4 linked regions of the Drosophila melanogaster genome follow. The gene in region 3 interacts genetically with the main gene of each other region. Each region holds a gene or a part of one and is shown on either strand. Other genes may lie near its edges. The genes, in order: mei-W68, spn-E, spn-D and Brca2.

What was found.
Region 1: of spn-D (region 3) and mei-W68, changing one suppresses a phenotype caused by changing the other (phenotypic suppression), as found in Drosophila melanogaster (one study listed by BioGRID).
Region 2: of spn-D (region 3) and spn-E, changing one enhances a phenotype caused by changing the other (phenotypic enhancement), as found in Drosophila melanogaster (one study listed by BioGRID).
Region 4: of spn-D (region 3) and Brca2, changing one suppresses a phenotype caused by changing the other (phenotypic suppression), as found in Drosophila melanogaster (one study listed by BioGRID).

Annotation. Positions count from the first base shown.
Region 1 is NT_033778.4:19,454,628-19,460,027, reverse strand, and holds mei-W68 (meiotic W68), read right to left. Parts: upstream 3,859-5,400; 5' UTR 3,053-3,858; intron 2,057-3,052; 5' UTR 1,977-2,056; coding exon 1,610-1,976; intron 1,552-1,609; coding exon 923-1,551; 3' UTR 505-922; downstream 1-504. Other genes in the region: CG7744 (uncharacterized protein), read right to left, coding at 4,858-5,400. UniProt on the Drosophila melanogaster protein: Required for meiotic recombination. Together with mei-P22, mediates DNA cleavage that forms the double-strand breaks (DSB) that initiate meiotic recombination.
Region 2 is NT_033777.3:15,835,618-15,843,460, reverse strand, and holds the start of spn-E (spindle E), read right to left. Parts: upstream 6,043-7,843; 5' UTR 5,979-6,042; coding exon 5,781-5,978; intron 5,724-5,780; coding exon 5,481-5,723; intron 5,316-5,480; exon of another isoform or gene 5,141-5,315; coding exon of another isoform or gene 4,049-5,140; exon of another isoform or gene 3,946-4,048; intron 3,763-3,945; coding exon 3,029-3,762; intron 2,932-3,028; coding exon 2,279-2,931; intron 2,190-2,278; coding exon 2,056-2,189; intron 2,005-2,055; coding exon 1,415-2,004; intron 1,359-1,414; coding exon 1,211-1,358; intron 1,144-1,210; coding exon 7-1,143; intron 1-6. Other genes in the region: Pbp45 (PSEA-binding protein 45kD), read left to right, coding at 4,049-5,140; ND-23 (NADH dehydrogenase (ubiquinone) 23 kDa subunit), read left to right, coding at 6,432-6,471, 6,655-7,106, 7,175-7,336. UniProt on the Drosophila melanogaster protein: Probable ATP-binding RNA helicase which plays a central role during spermatogenesis and oogenesis by repressing transposable elements and preventing their mobilization, which is essential for the germline integrity.
Region 3 is NT_033777.3:27,164,181-27,167,665, reverse strand, and holds spn-D (spindle D), read right to left. Parts: upstream 1,951-3,485; 5' UTR 1,863-1,950; coding exon 1,843-1,862; intron 1,786-1,842; coding exon 1,564-1,785; intron 1,507-1,563; coding exon 1,400-1,506; intron 1,344-1,399; coding exon 1,186-1,343; intron 1,031-1,185; coding exon 902-1,030; intron 846-901; coding exon 669-845; 3' UTR 544-668; downstream 1-543. Other genes in the region: CG34293 (uncharacterized protein), read left to right, coding at 2,138-2,234, 2,296-2,453; ppk31 (pickpocket 31), read right to left, coding at 2,535-2,698, 2,754-2,860, 2,954-3,160, 3,216-3,485.
Region 4 is NT_033778.4:24,524,200-24,530,087, forward strand, and holds Brca2 (BRCA2, DNA repair associated), read left to right. Parts: upstream 1-1,972; 5' UTR 1,973-2,101; coding exon 2,102-2,846; intron 2,847-2,906; coding exon 2,907-2,978; intron 2,979-3,037; coding exon 3,038-5,136; 3' UTR 5,137-5,354; downstream 5,355-5,888. Other genes in the region: CG4612 (uncharacterized protein), read right to left, coding at 119-343, 575-1,273. UniProt on the Drosophila melanogaster protein: Involved in and required for double-strand break repair by meiotic and mitotic homologous recombination. During meiosis, has a dual role in the repair of meiotic double-stranded breaks and the efficient activation of the meiotic recombination checkpoint.

The sequences.
Region 1 (5,400 bases), on a different chromosome or scaffold from region 3:
GGTGCTGCTACATTGGATGCTGTGCCATTGGACACGCTATCCGCTGGCAGGGCCTCAGGAACTGACTGCAGTGTGGTGCGCATTGCTGTCGACATATTTTTAAACAGTCCAATAGGGATTCTTAGAGATTCTGCACGTGAGATTCGAGTATTTTCGGGAGTCTTTCAGGTTTCGGTGCTTAAAAGTAGTCAAATGCCCAATGGGTTTCTATCATCCGTGGTACTCCTTCACATCTGCAAGAAATAAATGCACGCAATTAGTATGGATCTAAACAAAGCAGACTACTTGTATCTTTCGGCACCTATAATATGACTGGCCATTCACTTGCCATTATCAAAAACGTAGCCAATTACCGGCTCCGATTACCGACCTCAAGCCATAACACTTTAGAGGCACAATAAAAAAAATAATCTCCTTTGTCTGCTTGAGTTTACTGGCTTCGTCCACACAAAGTAATGCAGAAAATCAAGTTGACCACTCAATACGAAACACTAGAAGCAGATTACTCAGACATTACGAGTGTAAATTACTATTATCCGTTATCCAAATATTAAAATTATGTTTTCTAAAGGCAAGGATCTTAAGGTACTTTAATATTAATTAGTCGTAATATTATATTGACGTTATTAAAGCTGCATTGAAATTAAACATTACATTTTATAACATAAGCAACAAAATCGGAATCCCAATGAATGGGGAATTTAATTATTAAATTACTATCTTAATTAATTCAAATATTAATGGAAAGCTGATTACGCGAACTAACTTTTACAGTACTATTTTTAGGAGTCTTATGGTATCTTTATAGAGATACGTTTTTTACAAACTAATTACTATATTACTATACCTACAACATATTTTAAACTAACTAATAATATTTCAAGAGTAATAATATTTGGCTTATGGGGTTTACCACTGAACTCTACAAAAACAAGTTCCGATTGATTTTATTTGGTATATAGTCGTCGGTCAGGAAGTCGATGACACTCTCGATTTCGGCCTTCAGCTGAACGTCCTGCAGCATGCGCAGTTCCTGCCGCACTCCCGGCTCCAAATCGTGGCGGGCGAGGAGGTCATTGATTTTCTTGTTGTCGCCGGCAACCAGGGCAACCGCTCCAGTGCCGAGTGCGGGAATCTCCGAGGGGTGTAGACCAATCCAACGCAGCGCAGGTGTGGTTAGTCCTTGGCTGGAAAAACTCATGGACTTCGAGCCATGGCGATAGACTAGCATTATCTCGACGCCAAATGGATCGGCGTCAACGAGAATGTAGGCCGCCAGTTGGTTCTCCTCGGTGAGCCGATGGACAATCCTCCGGGTACAGCAATCGGGGTATCCTTTTCCAGTTATAAGGATGAAGCGTCGTTCAAAAGTACCAAATACATTTCTGGATAAGAGACTCTCAAAAACCGACTCCTTTTCAACGATTAGCACAAATTCCGCCAGCGTTTCGATTCGATCTATCTTCTCGGGATCCGTGGGCAATGTCAGAGGTCCACCATACAAGCTGCTGTCCAGAACGTCTCCGTTGGTCATCAGCAGCCTTAAGTCGCCTGCAAGAGTAACCGGATGAGCAGGGAGCCTTTGATCAGGATTTCGAGATAAACTCACCTGCCACCAGGCCCTTGGAGGCGGCCAGTATGCCCAAGCTTAGGGGGGATGTCCTCAGCATACGACAGACATCTAGCCTGGCTTCGGCAATCCTGGACTGCGACCGGACTAGCAGAGGATTGTCATAGTATAGTCCACGGACGGTGAAACTTCCTCCGCGGACTTGCAATCGGTGCACCCGGGAGAGCATGTAAATCAGCACGCAAAAGCTATGGCGACTTCCGCGATTATTATAGCTGACTCGTCGATATTCCGAGATCACGTTTCCGGATGAATTTCGGGGAACACTAAGAGTGGCATTGCCATGAACCAAGTTGCTCAGCAACTCGAGGGCAATTCTTTCTATATTCTCCGAAAATTCATCCATTGTTCTAGCAATTTACTTATATTAGGAACGGATTCTTAACAACAAATATGTACGTCTTCTTGATTTCGTACTCTTGCAATCTACAAAATGAGGTTTTTTAATATCCAAATTAAGAGAAATTAATAATAAATATAATTTTACTTGTGAATAACAGATTTAAACTTAATTAAGCGGCATATATTTTAACAAGAACTTGGTTACTAACGCTTAAATTTTAAACAATTACATTTTTGAATTCCTCCAACTTTATGTATCCTTGCTCCCAATTTCCATTAGTTCTAAATTCGCATGAATTCTTCTGTTTATGTTCAATGATTTGAAACATTCTCTAGAATACAAAGTGTAAGCACTTTTTTGGTCTAATTTAATTGCATGGGTGGTGCCACGCCCCCGGGATTTTCTTGTTGGTTCTTTGAATGCCTTTGTCACAAGCGGAAACCCCGCAGGAAAATGAGTGAAAACTGTGGGCTAAAACGTTGAAACACGCCCACCGACCTACGCACAGTAATATTTCATAAATACGTAAGCAATTCGTGGACTTACATACTATACGAAAATCAAGTGGTCTTTGCACTTACTTATATCTGATTTTGTAAAAGTTTATCGCGTAAATCGTTGCGTGGAAACATTTCGAGGGGGGTTATAAATAATTTCCGAAAGGAGCTTGCTGGCTAAAAATATACCATCGAAATGAAAATTCCCTTTCGGTGAAAACAACTGTTTTTTAAAAATTTAAGCACGCACACTAGTTGCAAATGAAGAGAGCGCGAGGGAGAGTGCCATAAGTTTATGTGAATTTCTTTATTCGGTCTTTCATTTTTTCTTCTTATTTTATTATTCTTTTTTCCTTCTTTTTCGTATGTGCAGAAAAGTGTACTCGTTATTACAAAGCACACATACACCGAGTGTGGGCGGGCGGGGGGTTTTCGCTCTCTTTTGGGGAAGAGAAAGAGAGAGACTGACGGAAAAGAGAGAGCGCCAACGAATGGGCTAGGAAAACTGACGAACGGAACGAAACGGAATGGCAGCCCAAGTATTGATTTGCTGGTTATGGTGCTGCCACTTCTTGTACTTACCAATGAAATACAATTTCCGATTGGCCCAAGAAAAGCTAAAGCTGAAAAGCTATTAGCTCTCTCGCTCAGAGAGGAGTCGCTAGCTGATGGTCGCTGCTGTTGTTGTTGTTGTTGCCATCGATGTAACGCATATTATTATTTAATTTCTTTCGATTTTCCCAGTTCCTTTTCCGATTCCGTTTACCCGAAAGTGGTTAGGTTTGGAAAGGCTCTGCTTTTTACCGACTTTTACCGAACGAAAACGACGACACACACAACGAAATGCAAATGCAATACATAGCTTTCTCACTCGCTCACTAGCTACCTCTCGACCGCTCTCACTCGCACAGCAGCAGTAGCAGCAGCTCTTTGGTTTTCAATCAGATTTTTCTTTCTTATATTTTCTTATCGCGATGGTTTTTTCTTTCGCTTTTTTTTTAAGAAGAACGGTCACCGATTTTTCACAAGGATTACGAACGCACCCCCACTGCTCTCCCCAGTCACTGAAAAGCCACAATAATAACAACAACAACGACAGTCTTGTTGGCAACAAATGGAAATATTCGCTATATGCTCTGCGCTGCTCTGCCCTTCGCAAAACTAATGTGTATCCGCGATGGGTAATGGGTAACTTGATATTGATACGATTACTAATATTATTGATAGCCGATTAGCCGACATAAGCGGTGGCCGCAATTGGCAAACGACGATTGTCCCGCTCCCGCAACGCAGTTAAATATTACTATTTTCCTCCGTCCACATCCACTTTGGCAGCAACAAAAGTATGTACGTCTCGGTCTCTCAAAAAAATTCACATTACGATACGGCAGCCATATTGTAGCAGTGTTGCCAGCTGGACGGTATTCAAAAATACTAAACTTTTTCTCCTGTTACTACTTATATACTAAATATACAGCAAGCTGTCATCTAAAAACCGCGCCCACAGACTGATTGATTAATGTGTAATTTGAAATAACCAGCTAAATTTTACATTCGAGAATGGTTAGAGGCTACACAACCTTATATACATAATTGTTTATTAAGATAATTTAAATTCATAATATATTTGTTCAATATTAACAACAACATAAACAACATACTTTCAGGGGCAAATGTATGAATTTTTGAAGTGCCGTGCCGACTTTGGAAACGGCCACTTTGATTTCTACACCGCGCCGTTAACCAACTGGCAGCACTGCACTAAGAGAGCGTGTTCTGAAATCTAAGAGAACAATATAACATTTTTTAAAAGAGAAAAACAACCAAAAAGACAGGTCACTGTTATTATTGAATTTAACTTGATAATGAATATTTTCTTATAACTGCACTTAACTTAACAAAATAATAACCATTTTTTTGTTTTGCTTTTATTTCAAAAAATATGTATTTGTATAATAAACAATTTATCTAGTTTATGTGAGTCACAAAAGTTTAGTTAACGATAAAAACAAACTTTGAATGATTGTCTTCAATGAATAAATAACTTAGTTACCAAAGCTTTATTCTCCCTTTAAAATCAAGTAGTATTTATATTACCTTCTAATCTTACTCCCTGACTTTCAATTCCCTGAAAAGTTCTATATTGAAAACCACGAAACTTAGAGCTACACAGATTAAAGAATGTCTAGCTAAACACTACTTATTTAGTCGATTATAAGTAAAGGGAGGACTAACCTTTAGTAGAATAAAGAAGCTTAAAAACTGTAAGTCAAAAATAAATTATTTGATAATTAAGTTAAGTCAAATTTATATAATTTCCCAACTGGCGGTGATCTTTTCCAGAATTTTTTCTAAGTTTTTCTAGATATTTATGACCTCACATCACATTAGTGTATTGGCTGTGAGGATTTTGAGTTAATCTCAATCCACTTCCTAAGTAAATCCCCCGGCTGCATAGTTGGCTGTTGCTGCGGAAGAGCAGTCCTCGAGTATTGATATTCACTAGGCGTTATTGTGGGTGTAGGTGACGGCATTGGCGGAAAAACTGCGAAATTTCGCTGACTCTCACGGGCTTCGGACCAGCCGTAGTCCCTTACAGTTGCAGCACCTGTTCCGCATTGGGCTTCTGGACGTGGCTGCGACTCAAATCCAGAAGATTGTGACGAAGTGCGGGAAAGTTGATTCTGCTGTTTCTCTTCGTAATGTCTCATTAGATTGGCAGTGCATAGATCTTGGTTCACACTTTGATTGGCCGCCACCCAGGCGCTTACATCAGCTCCGCCGACGTTCCTGTTTATGGACGGCAAACGCGATGGCATCAAAAGATTTTGCGTGGATCTAGTGAAAGTATTGCCTTGGGCCAGGTTACTTTGTCCATGGCGATACCATTGGGACTCTAATGGTCTCATGGGTTTCTGTTGAAACATCAT
Region 2 (7,843 bases), about 11 Mb from region 3:
GCTCACCAAAATCACATCATCTTCGAGAATGTTGACATCCAGATTAATCAACACGTCATGCTCTGCGAAGTAGGGCTCGTTTGTGTCCGGGTCACAACCCAATCCTCCCAGAACAGAGACATATGATGTGCCTTCTTTATTGCATTTAAGTTGCATAGTGGGACTAAATAGCATAACCATTAGAGCACCGAATCCCTGCACATTGGGCATCAGGGTGGTTCCACGGGCTGTCAGTGTCTGCCCGTTTCTACTCTCCGCGATTTCGTGGGCCACTATCAAATGATCGTGGTGATCTTGAGGATCAGCATCCAGGAGAAGTGCATTAACGGACAAATGGTCTATATTCACCCGTTTACTTAAGCCCACACGAGTAATGGATCGCATAGTACATTCCAAAGGACTGTTGGGTCCTTTCAACATTACAACGGTCTTGCACTTTTCCAGCGGAGGCGGTGGTAGATCGTGGTCTTGCGGCAGCTGACAGGATCGCAGATATTCCTCATTGATCTGTTGACGCTGCGCCGTGCTCAAGTTCCGGGCAGATTCTTGACGTCGCAAACGGAAATCATGATCTTTTCTAGACATATAATCTTCGTCGGATCGACGGCACAACATAAGCTCTACTAGCTTATCGTTGATTATGCCATCTCTCATATGAATGAGAACAGCTGCTACATTATTGAAAAGCGAATACACCTCAATATCGATTAGACCGCATTGGGCCACTGTCTTGAGCATATCATTAGCCGCGGTGGACCACCTATTGTTTCCACTGACCACTGAAGAGGGCTGAACCATTGCCAGCCTGCACTCAAAAACACGTGGCGGAAGGTCGCCGTACTGTTCAGTTAGCTCTCTCGGCATCAAACGCATTAGCTGCATGGGCAGCAAAGTGCAATTACCATAGTCGATGAAGCGAACGTAGAACATTGGTTGGCGATTGCTCTGATTCTCTGGCCGGATCACTGTGGCGCGCTGGAAATAACTATCGCGTTTGGCCAACACCATCATGCCCTTTGCGATGGCACTCGCGTTAGTTACGTAATTTCTTAGTTGCTGTGGAGCATTGAAAATTTCAGACATATTTCGAATGCACTCTTCAAAAGATTGGGGTTGAAAAAAGAACTTGCCACAGTTGACGATCTGTAAGATAGGAAAAATAAAAAAAATACTTTGAAATTCTCTAGATTTGTGTGGTGCAGCAGCTTACGCAAGTAATCGACCCTGAAATAGTTTTGTCAAAGACAGATGGCAGCGCAAGAAGCTCGACGTTTAAAGGCTTTGTGGGTGGAATCCAACGGCCCTCAATCACATCTCCAATCCCTCGCTGCTGTACGTAGCTCATAAATGCACTCGGACTGTAAATGATTAAACATAAGCTTCATAATCGATAGTAAAAGCCTTGATAACTCACTTCATTATGTGGATTGGCCGTTCGACACGATTTTGTCGCATCATAACTGCCTTGTACACCTCACTTTGAACTCTGCCCGACACAGGAACATACTTAGATGAACCTTCAATCCAGTCATCCTGTTTGAAAGTGACAAAGACCTTTTGCGAACCCTCTTGAAAAGTAACGTCCATGTTTTCCGGCGGAATCCTGACCTCCTGAAATAGCTCCTTAATGCGCCTAGTGTACAACTCGCCCATGTAGGCAGGCTTAAAATTGGTAAAATATACGGTGCGGCAGGGATCGTGGCCCGATATTGTCTGGTATATATTGCGATCTGTGTCTGCACACGACTCTTTGGAACGCGTAAAGTAGTTTGGGTAGAAGGCACCTGCAATGATCACTTTGAGCATGATCGCTTTTTCACGATCGTCCATCATTTGGTTAGGATTAACAGGAAACGGAATCAGACCGAGATGCGTGCATCGCACACGCAGTTCCTGCACCAACAAGTGTATCTCCTTAAGTGACCGCAAGGAGACGTGGAAACGTTTGGCCCAACGGATAGCAGACTCCTGGTCGTGACCATTTTCCACAATGTTCAAATATGTCTGCCGAAGAAACAAGTTATTACGCTATTAGTAATGCATCGCATAACTTACCAGATACACGCGCCAAATGGCCACCAAGTCGGAGCCAGATCCATCGGAGAAGATATAGTGCATCCAAAATGAATCGCCTAATTGAGACCTACCACCTTCGTGCGCAAACAAGCCAGGCGTCGATAAGCCAGCAGCTACAACATATTTAAAAAAAAAATCATTAATGCAAGACAAAGAATATTCCCCCCGTTATCCTAAAGCTTAACTACTGTTGCCCGCTTACCTATAATAATAGCTTCTTCGAGCATGTTAAAAATATAACCCAATATGATAAGCCGGGACTGACGTGTGTCCAACGGCAGCCGAGACATGATTGTGCCCCAGTAGGTAAGATCGCCATCCAACGGGTCGTAGATGCCGTCTACTGTTAAGTACAGAGCACCCACCTCTTTCAGAAGCAATATTGTATTGTGTATGTCCGACAGATTCGGCGGAGATAGAGCCAATGCCAAGATTTCCACCGGTGATCCCATATTCAGCACTTTGGCCTTGAGCACCGAGTTTTGCAAGGGCAAGCGCAACATTTCTGGTATTCCAAACTCGGGCATTTCCCTCTGATAGAAGTGTTTATTAACCATACGGTAAACGCGTCCACTACGAAGACGACCAACGCGGCCGGCACGCTGACGACAATTGGCTTTGGACGCCCAGGTTAAGCGGAGCGAAGAGAAGCTGCTAGCCGTATCGGTTACCTTTACTTTGGCAAGACAAAAGTCAATAACGTATGAGACATCTGGCACCGTGATGGAGCTCTCAGCAATGTTTGTGGTCAGAATGATCTTGCGGAAACCGGGAGGCGGGGGATTGAAGACATCCCGTTGGTTTTCCGGTGTCATTAACGAAAAACAGCGAACAATAGAGACCTTAATGTTGGGGCTGCAATTAAACAATAAAGATTGGAAATTATAATGATACAATTTTAGCTACTTCAAAATTTGTACAGTGAGCAATTCTCACGGATAACAATGCTTACTCGTTTTCCAGCATACAAGTAAGATTTTCTGCCATCGTGTCGATTTCGTAGATGCCTGGCAGAAAGATGAGCACAGCTCCATAGCGCAGGGCCTCGTCATAGCTCTGCCGCGACTGGATTGCAGCCTTCCGTTCCATGTTGTCAATAATCACTATGATCTTTACCGCTGCCCTGTAACCGTGTTTGTTGATTTCTGGCACCTGCTGGTGTCCCACATCTTCCTCATTCCAAATAATGCTGCCGAGCTGGTCACGGTAGAACTTCTCGATCGAGTGCTTACGTCGATGATTGGTGGTGATCACTGGCGGAATTGAGTTAGTGGTGGTAAAGTAGTCGGACAGTTCCTTGGCATCGATGGTGGCCGACATCAGGATAATCTTTACATGCCGCGAGTTCGTGGCCAGCAAGCGACGCACCACGATCAGAAGAAAATCCATGTTCTGGTCTCTTTCATGCACCTCGTCCAGCACAATGTGGGTGTAGTGGGTCAACGTCTTGTTGTTAATCAAATTGTTCAGCAGCACCCCGGTGGTGCAGTACAACAGACGAGTGTCCTCCAAAGAGTTCGGGCGGTGCAGGCCCACCTGGAAGCTGCACACCGTGTTCTGCTGCCACTCGCGCTCCTGGCAAACTCTATTCGCTATGGAGATGGCAGCTATGCGCCGGGGTTGTGTCACCACAATGTTGCAGTATTTACCGCTTTTATAGGCCTCATCCAAAATGTATTGGGGCACCTGTAAGAATAATTGATTGAATACTAATAATAATTATAAGAAAATATCTAAATATTTACAAAGCAGAACAAAAATGTAATTGTATTTTTTACACATTTTTCAAACAGTTTTTATAGTTTTGCGCTTTTTTTTTGAAAATAGCTAAGCAGTTATGAACACTACATATTTATCGATGAACTCCCCGGCTAGTGTTGTAAAAGCTTATTCCCGGCGAATGTTATTGTTTATATTTTGAGGCTCTTTTGAATGAGAGATGCGCATATATTTCGCGTAATTAAGATTCAGAATGGAGCTGAATATCTTTGACGACTGCTGGGAGCTGGTGCAACGATTTCAGCGATTGGTTAATGATGGCGAAAACTGCGAGTTCGAGGTGTTCTGCCGGTGCTGGCGAGAACTGCAGCTGCAGCACCTCTTCACTGCCCAGACGAACCACACAGAGGTGATAGCCACCACACTGGCGGCCCTGCATGTGGCCAAGCGACTGTCGTGCTCCCGACGCACCACCGGGGACGTTTTCCCGGCATCTCGCGCTCAAAGGATCGGAGGTTTCTTTCTGCTCTACGTAATCTACTACAAGCAGCCCACGCACAACTTTATTAAGATCGAGGTCTCACCGCGCACTTGGCAAGAACTAACAGACTACGCTCTAGATCTGCGCAAGGATAGTCCGGAGCGGAAGGACACTCATCAGATCGCCTACATGCTGTGGCGCCTGACCCAGGAGCAGGCCTTCCGCTTCACCGCGCTCGACTATTGCCAGGGGTTGGACAATCTGGTGGACTACGACCGTGTGGAGACCGTAGCGGGTGCCAAGGAACAGAGGCAGAGTGCCTTGATGCAGAAGCAACAGCGTGCGAACGGCGTCAGTCTCACATACGAACTGGAGGGTCTGCGAGCACTGGACCAGGCAAGCCAGCCATTGTGTGAACTGGAAGCGGCATACAATGCCCAAAAGAAGCAATTGGCGGCTGGTCATGAGCACGCTTTGCCGCCCTCTCAAATATTCGGCCATTTGCGAGAAGTCTTTGCCGATATCCAAAGTGTTCTAGGAGCTAGAAAGAGTACTCCAGATGAGAATTGTACCACAACATCTACAGGCAACCAGTTGGAAGTGCGCCAGAGGGTGCGGAACAAGGCCATGTACGGCGTCGAGGAACGGGAGCCGCAAAACCAGGCGGATGAACTAGAAGTGCAGCTGGAGGTCAACGAGACTTATCAACGCCGCATGTCCTCGGCCACCGTTTTTCAGAGGGAACTTCCAGCAGACGTGCAGCAAGAGTATGAGATGATTGAGTTTAGTGACGACGAGGAAATGGAAGTGGGTGAAAGCGAGGAGGTCACGGAAGAAGAACTCAAAGCTATTTTGGATACTTGAGTTAGTTTATAAAACTTTTACATAATTAAATAACTAGCATTTTTGCGCGATGTGATCTTGTTTATCTGTTGCACATAAAATATTCATTGTATTTAAGTATGTAGGATAGGATATATAACTATATAGGATATAAGTTTCCTAGGCTTTGCTATTCTTATATAAAGAGTTGAAAAGTATATTGAAGATTATTATTTATTATATAATATTAAATACTCTCGACTAGTTTGGATTTGAATTTCAAAAGTCGAGGATAAAAGGTTTAATTATAATTCGCTTGCGTTGGCTTTATTAAAATATAGACTTAATAAAAAAGTTAGGATTTTATTTAAGTTTTGCTCACCTGCGTGGTCTTGCCACATCCTGTTTCGCCCTTAATAATGACTACCGGATGAGCATTGATGGCCGCCAATATTTCCTCGCGCTTGGCGTAGATGGACAAGTTCTTGTCGCGATTCAGATTGAATCTGAACTTCTTGTAGTACTCGTCATCCCGGCGAATTTCGGTCTCTTCCCCCTCATCGTCGGTGTCCAAATCGTCCAGCGTTCGAATGCGTTTGCCTTGAGGCTGTTCGTTGAGCAGCGTCTGGATCGAATTACACATAAACAAACAGAAGTGCTGACGCAAGCTTCCAGTTCTCACCCCGTTCAGGAGACACTTTTCCTTGGCGACGATTTTGCTGACATAGTCGGTGCCGATCAACTCGCGGTTGGGCACTTCGGATGATTTGAACTTCGTGGCCATTAGCCTCGGATCGCTGCTGATGTAGCCTTGCGGGGCGGCGGCCACGCGCTTCAACTCCTTCGAGAAGTCAAAGAAATCCATAACCTCCTGATCCATTTTCCGACATAAACAATGAAAAATTTCACAATTCCGCGTAGCGGGAAAAGTTAAACTGTAAATTGTAGTGGTGGGGATTTTCAAAGTCAATGTTGAAAAGTGTAAAAGTGCGAATTTATATCGATAGTGCCATTATCGAAGCTTTAAGGTTTTTATTAGGGGTATTCGTATAAAAAAAATGTTTTCTTTTTTTTCTCACAGTCTTTCTGGATTATTTGTTAATATTATTTATTATTTTTACACGAATATTTAATTCTTTGTTACATTATTTATATTTTATATCTCATATTTTATTTTTGGTTTATGTCATTAAGAAACTACGATATATTTGAATACGATATTTGAGCATTGAATTTATGTGGGTAATCGAAAGAAACCCAGCTCTAATTTGTTCGGGCAAATTCAATAGCAAAACAACTTCTTTGGCAATTTTAGTTTAATTTGGTCGCAAAAATGTCGCTAACTATGCGAATTTTCACCGCATCGCGCAACGGTAGGTGGCGACCCATCCCCTCACATCCGTTGTTTTCCGGGAAATTTCCCATTTTCGTGGAAATCGCGGCGAGTGAGGTTATGTAAGCTTATGTCATACCAAAACAAAAGTCTAAACTCGCTTAATTCAGTATAACTTTTCGACTTAAGCATGTTATTTAATGGTAAAATGTTCTCCCCACAGGACAGCGCCTGTTTGGCAGCCATGGAGCCCGGCTGCTGGCCGCCCAGCGAGCAGAACCCAAAGATATCGTCGAGGTTCCCAAGGGCTATGTGTATGTAAACAACAAGGAACTGAGCATGGAGTTTGCCGACATCACGGACCGTGCTGCATCCACCATGTTCTTCGGTGAACTCTTACGTGGATTTGCCGTCACCCTGGCGCACATCTTCAAGGAACCGGCCACTATCAACTATCCCTTTGAAAAGGGACCACTGAGCCCGCGATTCCGCGGAGAACATGCCCTTCGTCGTTATCCCAGTGGAGAGGAGCGCTGCATCGCTTGCAAGCTATGCGAGGCTATTTGCCCCGCACAGGCGATCACCATCGAAGCGGAGGAGCGCGCGGATGGCAGCAGACGTACCACACGCTACGATATCGACATGACCAAGTGCATCTACTGCGGATTCTGTCAGGTGAGGAGGAGCAAAGTGGCGCCACAATTTACTAGAAACTAATTGCATCTTTTTGTCCCCCCGCGTAGGAAGCCTGTCCCGTGGACGCCATCGTCGAGGGACCCAACTTCGAGTTCTCCACGGAGACGCACGAGGAGCTGCTGTACAACAAGGAGAAGCTTCTCTGCAACGGCGACAAGTGGGAGTCCGAGATTGCCTCTAACTTGCAGGCCGACCATCTCTATCGTTAAAGTTGCTTGTACCCCTAGAATTCCTTGTTTAGAACGATTTTCCAATTAAAGATCGTTGCTGTGGCTTCGTCTTAAGCGAAAGTCAGTTGTATTTTTTTTAATTACTCAACTGGCCTAATAAATATAAATTATTTATATTCAAAGAGTTCCACGTTGTATTCGACAGATGACAAAGTTTATTTAATTAACAGGCCAATAGAAAGCATTTTTTCCAATGACGGAGCGACTACAAATAAATGAAACTTAGTTAATACTTTACTATTCCGATTTTGATTACACAAATTATAGGCAATAACTTCCATTTGCTGGTCAGTTATTAGAAACAGATATTATTTATGAAAGTTACTTGCAGTTTTATCCACGTTAATTTTGTAAAAAGAATTTACATAAATTAATTAAAACAGAAAGGCTTACAAATTCAAATAATTTATTTAGTGGTTAATGAATTTAATTAATTGTGACACGTTGGCAGTGATACTGCAAATTAGGACCACGCTGCGAGTAAAA
Region 3 (3,485 bases):
TGCTGCCCGGAGCTCCATGTTCGCTTACGGAGTGCACTGGAAAAAAATAATGTATGCAAGTATTTGGATTTACTTTTCCAAAAGTGGCGCATTGCATTGTACACAGCAAAAGTTAAACATATACATTATAAATGACATGAAATATAACCAAATGAATCATTTGAATATTCATCTATACAATGAAACTTTACTTTTTTCCCGTGTATAATCAAAGGCCGCGGGCTAGAGATCGGCAGTCTGGTTTGGGTGTCGCCGTTCGTATGTGTAAACACTTTTTACACTTTGCCACATTCCTGCGCCGCGCGCATAAATCAGGCGTTGCTCGCCTGTCAATCTGGAGCTGCGCCATCGATAGGCATCGGGCTCCTCGTGGAGTGGAGGTGACCGGTAGAGCTTTTAGCAAGTGCTCAGCACCTGGCTGGGTGTGCGCTAGTTGCGAATCCGTTTTCTGTGCCACACCGCATCATGGCAAGTGGTTGAGGATGCCGTTTGCCAATGCTGCTGTTGCTCCTCTTTCCTGTGCTAATGCTTCGATTCTAATCTCTTGCTAAACATATTTTTATTTTATAGAAAAATTATCATCTGATAATTGCATATTTAATCCTAATACGCATGTACCTATTTTTAACTAATGCTTAAACTCGACACAAAGTAAAAGTGATGTAGCCTCATTCGGATTCCTTAATTAATCTACTCGTTCGCCACGACTTGCCCAGGTGAAGCTCAGAGCTGCCCGAAAACCAGATGCGCTCGTTGATCAAGTGCGAATGCAGATCCCCCAAGGCGGGCTCCACTTGGAACTTTTGCTTGACGTAGCGATGCGTGAGCACATTGGTGAAGACCCACTGCCGGTGGACGGGATTATAAAAGGAAAGGAAATTGATCGATTGTGAGGACTTACGGTCAATTCGTGTTGACGTTGCAATCTCCGCATGCTTTCATGCAGTTCCAGAAGCATCTCGTAACGATGGGCGCCATCCTCAAGCATTCGCAGAGTAAAAGCCAGGGAGTCGATTACAATCAGCTTAATCTAAGGAGACAGTTGCGTTTTTAAAGTTACAGAAATGTCTTTCAATTGGTTTGGCAAAAGTATGGATTTTTGTGGTAACACCACAAAGGACAAAGTACAATGAGAACATTTTATATTAGCGAAGAAAGGGATATTATAAATACATGTAATATTACATCGGGATGATCGACGAGATGCCTGTGGCAACTGAGCACAGTGGCCATTAATTGATCCAGTTTCGGGCACCTCACATAGTGGATTTTCTGCAGCATTTTGTGAGCCTTAAATTCTGGAACTCTATGTGCATACTGCCTTTCCAGTTTCAGAGCTAGGCCTAGAAATAAACTTTGTTTAGTTATACCACAGAAATAGTTTATTCCATCTACTAACCCATTAATCTGTCAGGATGGAAATCCTGCCTGGTGTCTATAAATAATGCACTGCCCTCCAATCCACCAGCTGCCTTGGGAATTTGTACATTTAGGCAAAGTTGCAAGCTATCATATACCATTTGTAAATTATAGTTAATAACGAAATAATAGTTAATAAAGTACCACATTTGCGTCTTTCCGGTGCCCGAATTGCCGATCAGTTCAACCAGGTGACCCAAGGATATTCCACCTCCAAAGTGAGTGTCCAGGGCTTTCTTGCCCGTCAGGATCTTATTTGAGGCACTTTGGGAAATGTCCCAGCAGGATTTATCAAATATTCGAAAGTTTTCATGGGACACAGATGGTCTTCTTTCAATTGCTTCTGGTTGCGATGGCTCCCAAACCCTTGAAAGACACAAAGTTTATAGGGATTCTAAAAGTGTTGTATTTGATGGAACCTACCGAACAAATCTATGATTCATTGTAAACTCCTGACTGCTTAATCCTTTTTAAAACTCTTAAAAAACAAAAGATGGGATCGCAAATAATCAAAACAATCGCGCCATATGATTTTACAGTACTGTTAAGACTTAACATTGCAGTGTTGTGTTAGTTAACTTTTAAGAGCTGGCTGCTACAGAAATACGACTTCAAGCAATTGAATTTTCATAATGTCTGGCTACACCAAATGTCATATGGTTTTTGTTTACAACTTAATTTCCTGCGACGCGATTTTATTGGACTTTAGTCATTGAAAATGTTAAATTTAAAACACTTTGCCAGCCACGCCTACCGCCAGTACGAACTGGTGACGTGCGTGAACATGCTGGAGCCCTGGGAAAAGAAGCTGATCAGTGAGTATCGATATTGGGAGACAAAGCCAACTGCTAATCCGGATTATCTGCCCTCAATCAGATGGATTCTTTCTGGTGATGCTGCTCCTGGTGCTCTTCTCCAGCTTCATGTATCTTCCCAACTACATGCAAACCCTAATGCAATTTGTAACGCCGCCCAACTGGCACAATTCCCCGGATAGCGCAGCCTATGTGGCACAAAAGATCGCACGGAGCTGAGCTCCTACTACCAACTTCGTACAAGTGCATACTCCCTATAGAAAGACAACTATGATTTAAAGCTTATAATATTATTGTGATTTACGTCGACTGGTCCAAGATCTGTAAATATTGAACTGTGCCAAGAAAAAACCGCTTAACCCACTTCACAATCGTTTTTCTGTACCGCAGACAGATAACAATGGTCTCCACTATTCGCAAGGCGGATGTGTTGAAGAACAGGCCAACCAGTCCTCCAAGGGAAACTGAAAAGGCGGAATTGAATTCGAAACTATTATATATATGGATAGCGTAGCTTACTCAAGAAGTCCAGTATAGTCTTGGTTACGCGACGAACGTATCGTTGTGTTGGCAGTTCAACCAAGGCCACGCGGATTTCGGACACTTCATCTGAGGCTTCATCATCCCTTAAAGTTAAAAGATACATTTTTAAGTAGCCCATTTACTTATTTCAACTCTCAATGTTAAATTGTGCAAATGAAACATCCTAATGTGCTTACTCATCAGCCGAGTTGTATATTATGTTGTACTCCGGCTCCTCGCAGGAGCTCATGCACTCGCAGGACTTGCGCTCCGTCATGATCTTGTCGCGGATCCGGGTCAGGCAGATCAGGCCCCGAACGTCACAAACGGGCAGATAATTCTGGCCGGGAATGGCCATAAAGTGACTGGTGCAGTTGCAGTTGTCCAGTTGAAGTAGCACAGTACTAAGGATTATACATAAATCTATGAATTAATTATATTAACTTTATTAAGTATTACCACTCCACCACGCAGCCGGAGTAGCTGTAGAAGTCGTAGATTCCCTGTCGCTCCGGCACATGCTCATGGCCATAGCGACATCGCCGCTGCTCCATGCTTAGGTCCTGAACACTCTCGTCGTTGTGCACCTCGATCACGTTCAAGATCAGCTCCTTGTAGTGGCCCAGCAGCACCGTTTCCCGTATCATGCCCTCGGAGAACTGGTAGGGCACATCGATTGGTGCATGAACGTACAGCTGAATGTCGGCGGCGGCATGAAAGCTTAGATGT
Region 4 (5,888 bases), on a different chromosome or scaffold from region 3:
CTCGATACAATTTCTCGTAAATATCTATATAGGTTTATATATGGGTGTGTATTGTATGTGTGTGGGTTCCAAGTCAACTCCTAGCGATGTCCTTGGATCAGCTGCCGCCGCCGAAGCCTTAGTAGTAGAATATCTGGCCGGCCTTCTGCCGCTTGCGCTCCTCCAGCTTGCGATTGATCTCCTGCTGCCGCTCGGCCTTGCTGAGGGCTCTTGCCACGTACAAGAACTTGTTGTCGCCCAGCTGCTTGCCGTGCAGGCCAATTACGGCGGCCAGCGCCGACTGTGGGTTCTCGTAGGCGACGAAACCGAAACGCCGGGAGCGCCCCTCCTCGTCCAGCATGAGCTGCAAGGATCGGAGAAAGCAAATCGATGATATAAACAAATTAGCACAGATGGGCCAGGTGGAGTCCTCATCTTCCCCGCCGTCACAAACTCCTCGTGGCTACATGGGCATGCGCAGCAATGGCGCAAGAGAGGACTTAAGAGAGTGCAAAACTGTGCCACATGGTTGTCGTCCAACCACCCGGCCCCACGAACATCCCCGTAGGGAAGATGAGGTGACCAAACAACGTACCTTGTGACTGGTGATGCGGCCGTAGGGCTCGAACATCTCGCGCAAATGCTGCTCGGTGAACTCCTCGCTGAGGTTCTTCACATACAGATTCTTGAAGTGCGTGGCCTTCTCCTGCTCCCGGTCCCGCCGTGGTATGAACTTGACCACATGCACCTTCTGATTATTGCACAGCATCCCATTCACCTTCTCGATGGCCGCTCGGGCGGCCTCCTCCGAATCGAAATGCACAAACCCATAGCCGCGTGAATTGCCATCCTCGTCTTTGGCCACATTGCAGTTTAGGATGTTTCCGAACACCGAGAACGTGTCGTACACCGCCTTGTTGTCGATGGACCGCTCCAGGTTCTTGATATAGATCTTGCCACTGTCCGGAGAGCTGTTGCCTCCGCTGCCCCCAGTGGAGCCGCTAGCCAGAGCTCCCCCGCCGACTCCCACGCCCACATTGGCCGAGTGCGAGGACGTGGACGTGTGCCCGCTGCCCAGGGAGTTGTGGCCATGCCGTCCGAGAACAGCGGCGGCCGCCAGGTGGTTACTGGCTGCGTGCCCACCGCCGACGTGGCTCAGGTGACCAGCTGCAGCGGCGTGGTGGTGCAGCTGCTGCTGGTGGTGCGCCGCTGCCAGCGTGTGGTGGTTCAGGGCCGGCTGCTGCTGGTGGTAGTTCGCCGGATTGCCGCGGAACGTCATGGAGTTGACGAACATAATGGCTGCTGGCTGTTTGTGGAGCGTGGTGGCGGCTAGTGGAGTGCTGTAGGTGCTGTAGGTGGATTCTGCGTCCTGGTGGCCGTGGCTCTGGATCTGGATACCGCTGTAGATGGGCCCGAGAATCTTGACGGCGTTCTTGTCCTGGTCCTAGTATTTCACTTCACTTCCCGATTTACCTGGGATGTCGGGAATCTGCGTTATGGCCAATCTAGTCGTAATCCAGCGGAATGCCCACTTACCAGGATTTGCACACGGAATATGACCAAGGATTCGCGGAGTTGAAAAAATCGTTTTTCTCTCGCACAGACTCTTTTCAACGCTCTTCGCTCTCTCTTTCTTTACCTCTCTGGCTCTTCCTTTCGCTCTTTTGTACTTTACTTTTTCTGGGGGCTTTCACTTTTGGGCTGATTCTTTGGGGCTCTGCTGGGCTTTCGCGTAACACTTTCCGGTATTGTTTTCGAGTGGCACCTAAACTAGACTCTTCAGCAATTGCAGCAGTGTAAAACCTGGTTTTTGCAGCTTCGGCGATGGCCCTTTATTATTTAATTGTATTTTATGCAAAAACTGTCGCTACTAGTGATTAGTGATGTTAAAAAACATCGATGCATCTGCCATCGATACGTGAGGCCTTCATGTTCTTGGCCATACCATCGATGACTTTCTCGCTCCCGATTGCTTAGCAAGTCCACCCTCCACAGTTAGCGGATAATGGCCATCAAAGCAACGCTTACCAACACTGCACCCCTTGTTTTGGAAATGCAACCACAAAAGCATTGGACACTTGCTTACTTCAAATAAAACACATTTAAACAATTAGATGACGTGATGGACCAGAATGGCGCATCGGGAAGTCATCCGAACAGGCTATCCCAAGGAAGAGGAGCCCATGCGCGCGAACGTGGCGCCACAGTTTCCGCGGCGGCAAATCGGAGTAACATTATCGACGAAATGGCCAAAATATGCGAAGCCGATCGCCAGACTTTCGCCATCGCTCGACGGACTCGGGGTCACGAGCGGCTTGCGGTGGACAACAGCGACTTCGTCGCCGTGGAGGATCTTATTTTGTCCTACGCAGAGCCCACGCCCGAGGACCAGGTCGAGATGATCATGAGCGACTTTTGCTCGTCTCCAACATACGCAGAGGATGAGGATGAGCCCAGCCATGAGTCGGAGCCGTGGTTTCGATTTCGCAACAAAAGGATCAGAACCTACAGCCGGAAGAGGGATCCCAAAAGCCACAAGGCCGTTCAAAACGAGAAGCGTAGAGGTTCCTCAGGCCTCTCCGTGCAGAGGGATCTCAATACTTCGTTCACATCTATGGCTTGTGATTTCGATGCTTCATCACAGAAGATACACGAGGTCCTTTTGAACCTCAGTCAATACTTTTCCGCGACCGCGACAGCTTCCGGTCCGACTCCTGTCCCATCGCAAATAGATCTGCCAACCGAAGCAAGGCAGGATTCTGGTGACGAGTGTTTCAACGCTGAATTGGAGAACTTGAGGGATGACCTGTTGCAGAGCGGATTTACATTTGAGGCCTCTTTCTATGAAAATGAGCATGAGCAGGAAGGTAGGGAGTGGGATCGATATGGCAAGAAACACATTTGTAACTCCTTTTATATGTACGTAGGTCCAGGAACTATGGCAGACACTATTTATGGCGATAGCATGCAATCGGTTCCCACTACGCGCCTCCGATTGGGTAATTCATATGCAATTTATGTTGTTGCGAAGTTCATTAATATAAACCCTTATTTATAGAAAGTGGAAAACGTAATGTTTGGTCTGATGCAGACTCTACATTGAAAAAAGCTGATGTCGAAATTGCTGAAAATAAGAAACTTTTGATGGGCCAAACGCAAGCAAAAAATGTTGACATAGAGGAGAACACAAACTTCATATTAGAAGGCATACCACTAAGTGAATGGCTAACTCCGATGGAACTGCCCGAGATCTCCAAAGATGTAATCAAACATATACCCGATAAAAAGTTAAAGTTGGAGCCAAGTTCCCAGAAAGAACAAAAAAGTAGCAAAGATTCAAATGCATCAAAGGTTAGAGGAGCCTCAAAACAATCTTGTGATATTAACACGAAAAACGAAGGAACTACTATTCTGGATCAGCCTAATGCTGCAGAGCAAGAAAACCTATTGAACGACGGCGAGCTTCTTGAGGAGTTTCTTTTTAATGATTGGCAACCAATGCAGTGCTCTAATGGCCCATCAACCTCCAAAAACGCAATTCAAGGGCCTAAAGAAAACATCAATTCAATAAATCTGGACGACAAGGAGCAACCAGAAAAGCAGACTCCTAATAAAAGTCAGACCATAAGCAGTCATCAACTTAATGGCATTCGAAAGAAGTCCTTCAAATTTATCGAGGTTTCGGAAGAAATGAAAATTAAAGGCGAAGAGTTTGTAGACAAAGTTGTATCCGGCCTATATCACTTTAGTCACAAGTGCAACTTACGTACTGAGGAATACTCCGATAATCATAGTCAAGTAATGGAATCAACACAGTGTGCGGAATTCAAATCAGCCCCAAGCAAGCCCATCGAAATATTGGATGGTAAGGAAACCTACAATGCAATAGCTAAAGTTGACGTTGGAGAAATAAATGGAAAATTCAGTCCTCTCAATAACGATACTATAGCAGAGCCCGAGTTTTGTGGCTTTCGCACAGCCTCAAATAAGGCAATTCCGATTTCTGAGAAGATGAAAATCAAAACTGCAGAGTTTATGGCTGAGTTTCAATCCAAAGAAACAATTCAACAAAATGATTATTTAGTCCATCAGCCAAATGACAAACCGACGTCTGTTGGACTTGATACAGCCTTAAAAAGATCAATAGAGAGTTCAGAGGAAATGCGATCGAAAGCTTCCAAGTTGGTGGTCGTTGATACTACAATGCGGGAACCGCATCAACCCACACTTGACCCAGTTTGCCGTGACTTAAATGAATCACAGTTTTTCGGCTTTAGAACAGCGTCAAACAAAGCCATTGAGATTACCGAGGCGATGGAGAAGAGAGGAGCCATGTTTCTGGCCCAGTCTAAAGCTACAGACCAATTAAACGGGTGGCAGCCAAGCGATTTTCCTGATGTTCTACCCACCTCTCCAAACAATGAGATTCATTCAATAAATGTTGAAAATAATAAGGCTGTGAATACTAAAACCGTATCTGAGACCGAATTCTTCGGCTTTCGTACCGCTTCAAATAAAGGAATTGTGATTTCGGAAAATACGAAAATCAAAGTTGCACAGTTCATGAGTGAATTTCAAGCCGCCGATGCAAGCACTGACTCGAACCAACCAACTGTGATCTCTGAGGAATCGAGAAATATTGATGCCAAGTTCGTAGATGAAGCGGCGGCAGAAGACAGTGCCAACAAGCCAACTTTTTGCAATGTACAAAGTCTAAAAAATACCTCAGATATTGAGCATTTCAAACACGACTTCTTCGTGGAGCATTCTGCAAAGGAAGAGCATCCGCTGTGTAGCCAGCCATTGGTGAGGACACCCAGAAGGTCGCAGGAGATCCACTCCTCACTATCGCAACTTGCCGGCAAATCACCACTGGACCAGGCCACCAAGAAGTCCGTAATAGCTCGCCGGAACCTCCTGTCACTAAAAAGAAAGCGAAAGATCATTTTGTCAACTGAAACTTCCACTTCCTGCGCCTTACCCACTATGGAGCGATTCGCTCCCAAGCCTTCCTCGACAAGTACTCCGCTGGCCGACAGGGACTTAAATCGCTCCAAGGACTGTACAAAGAATAGACAGGATGCGGAGGACATGTCCCCTATTTGCATGCAACCCAAAAAGAGTCGAAGACTTGGTCTGAGTCGAAGTCGCTATTAGTACACATTAAGTAAGCGTTGCTTTATACCCAAAATATTTAAACCGCTGGCCGATTTGAAATGGGTAGAGATTTAGTTGAATTAATTAAGGTATGCCATTAGTGGTCTCATCATGACAGATTGAATAATTGTATAAGTTATCATAATAAGCGTTTTTTGTTAAGTGCACCTTATAAGGAAATAAACGATCCGATAAGGGCCACCCGCTAACCAACTTCCTTAAAGGTGCCCACTTACGAGTTCCGCGAAAAAAACGAGAAGAGACGAAATCAGTCCCACAGTTCACAAAACAAATGCGAAAAAGTAGTAGTCCAGGTCGAATGCCTTAGCCGGCGGCTCATCATCGCGCATCAAGGTATAGATTCCCTGATGGATGAGCTCCCGGAAAGTGTCCGCCTTCATTTTGATGCTGATCCCGTGCTCCTGCAGGCGCCTCATGAACTCACTGGTCATCGCCAAGTACGGCAGACTGTTGGACACGCAGTAGGATTCGAGGGTAAAACCCACGGCCTGGCGAATCATGTTGAAGCGCGGCGTCTTCAGCAGGTACTGCTGCATCAGGATCAGCTCCAGGCGGTCCTCGTACAATATGTATATGTAGCTCTGATTGAGCCCATCCCGGTACGCCTTTAGCAGGGTGGCGTTCAAGCTCAAGCTGTTCCTGCGGAGCCGTTCGGGCAGGAAGGTTTTCGCCTTCATCTGACTTCTGTAGTACTCGTCGTGCAGACTGGGGTAGGGAGCCCTGGCCAGATC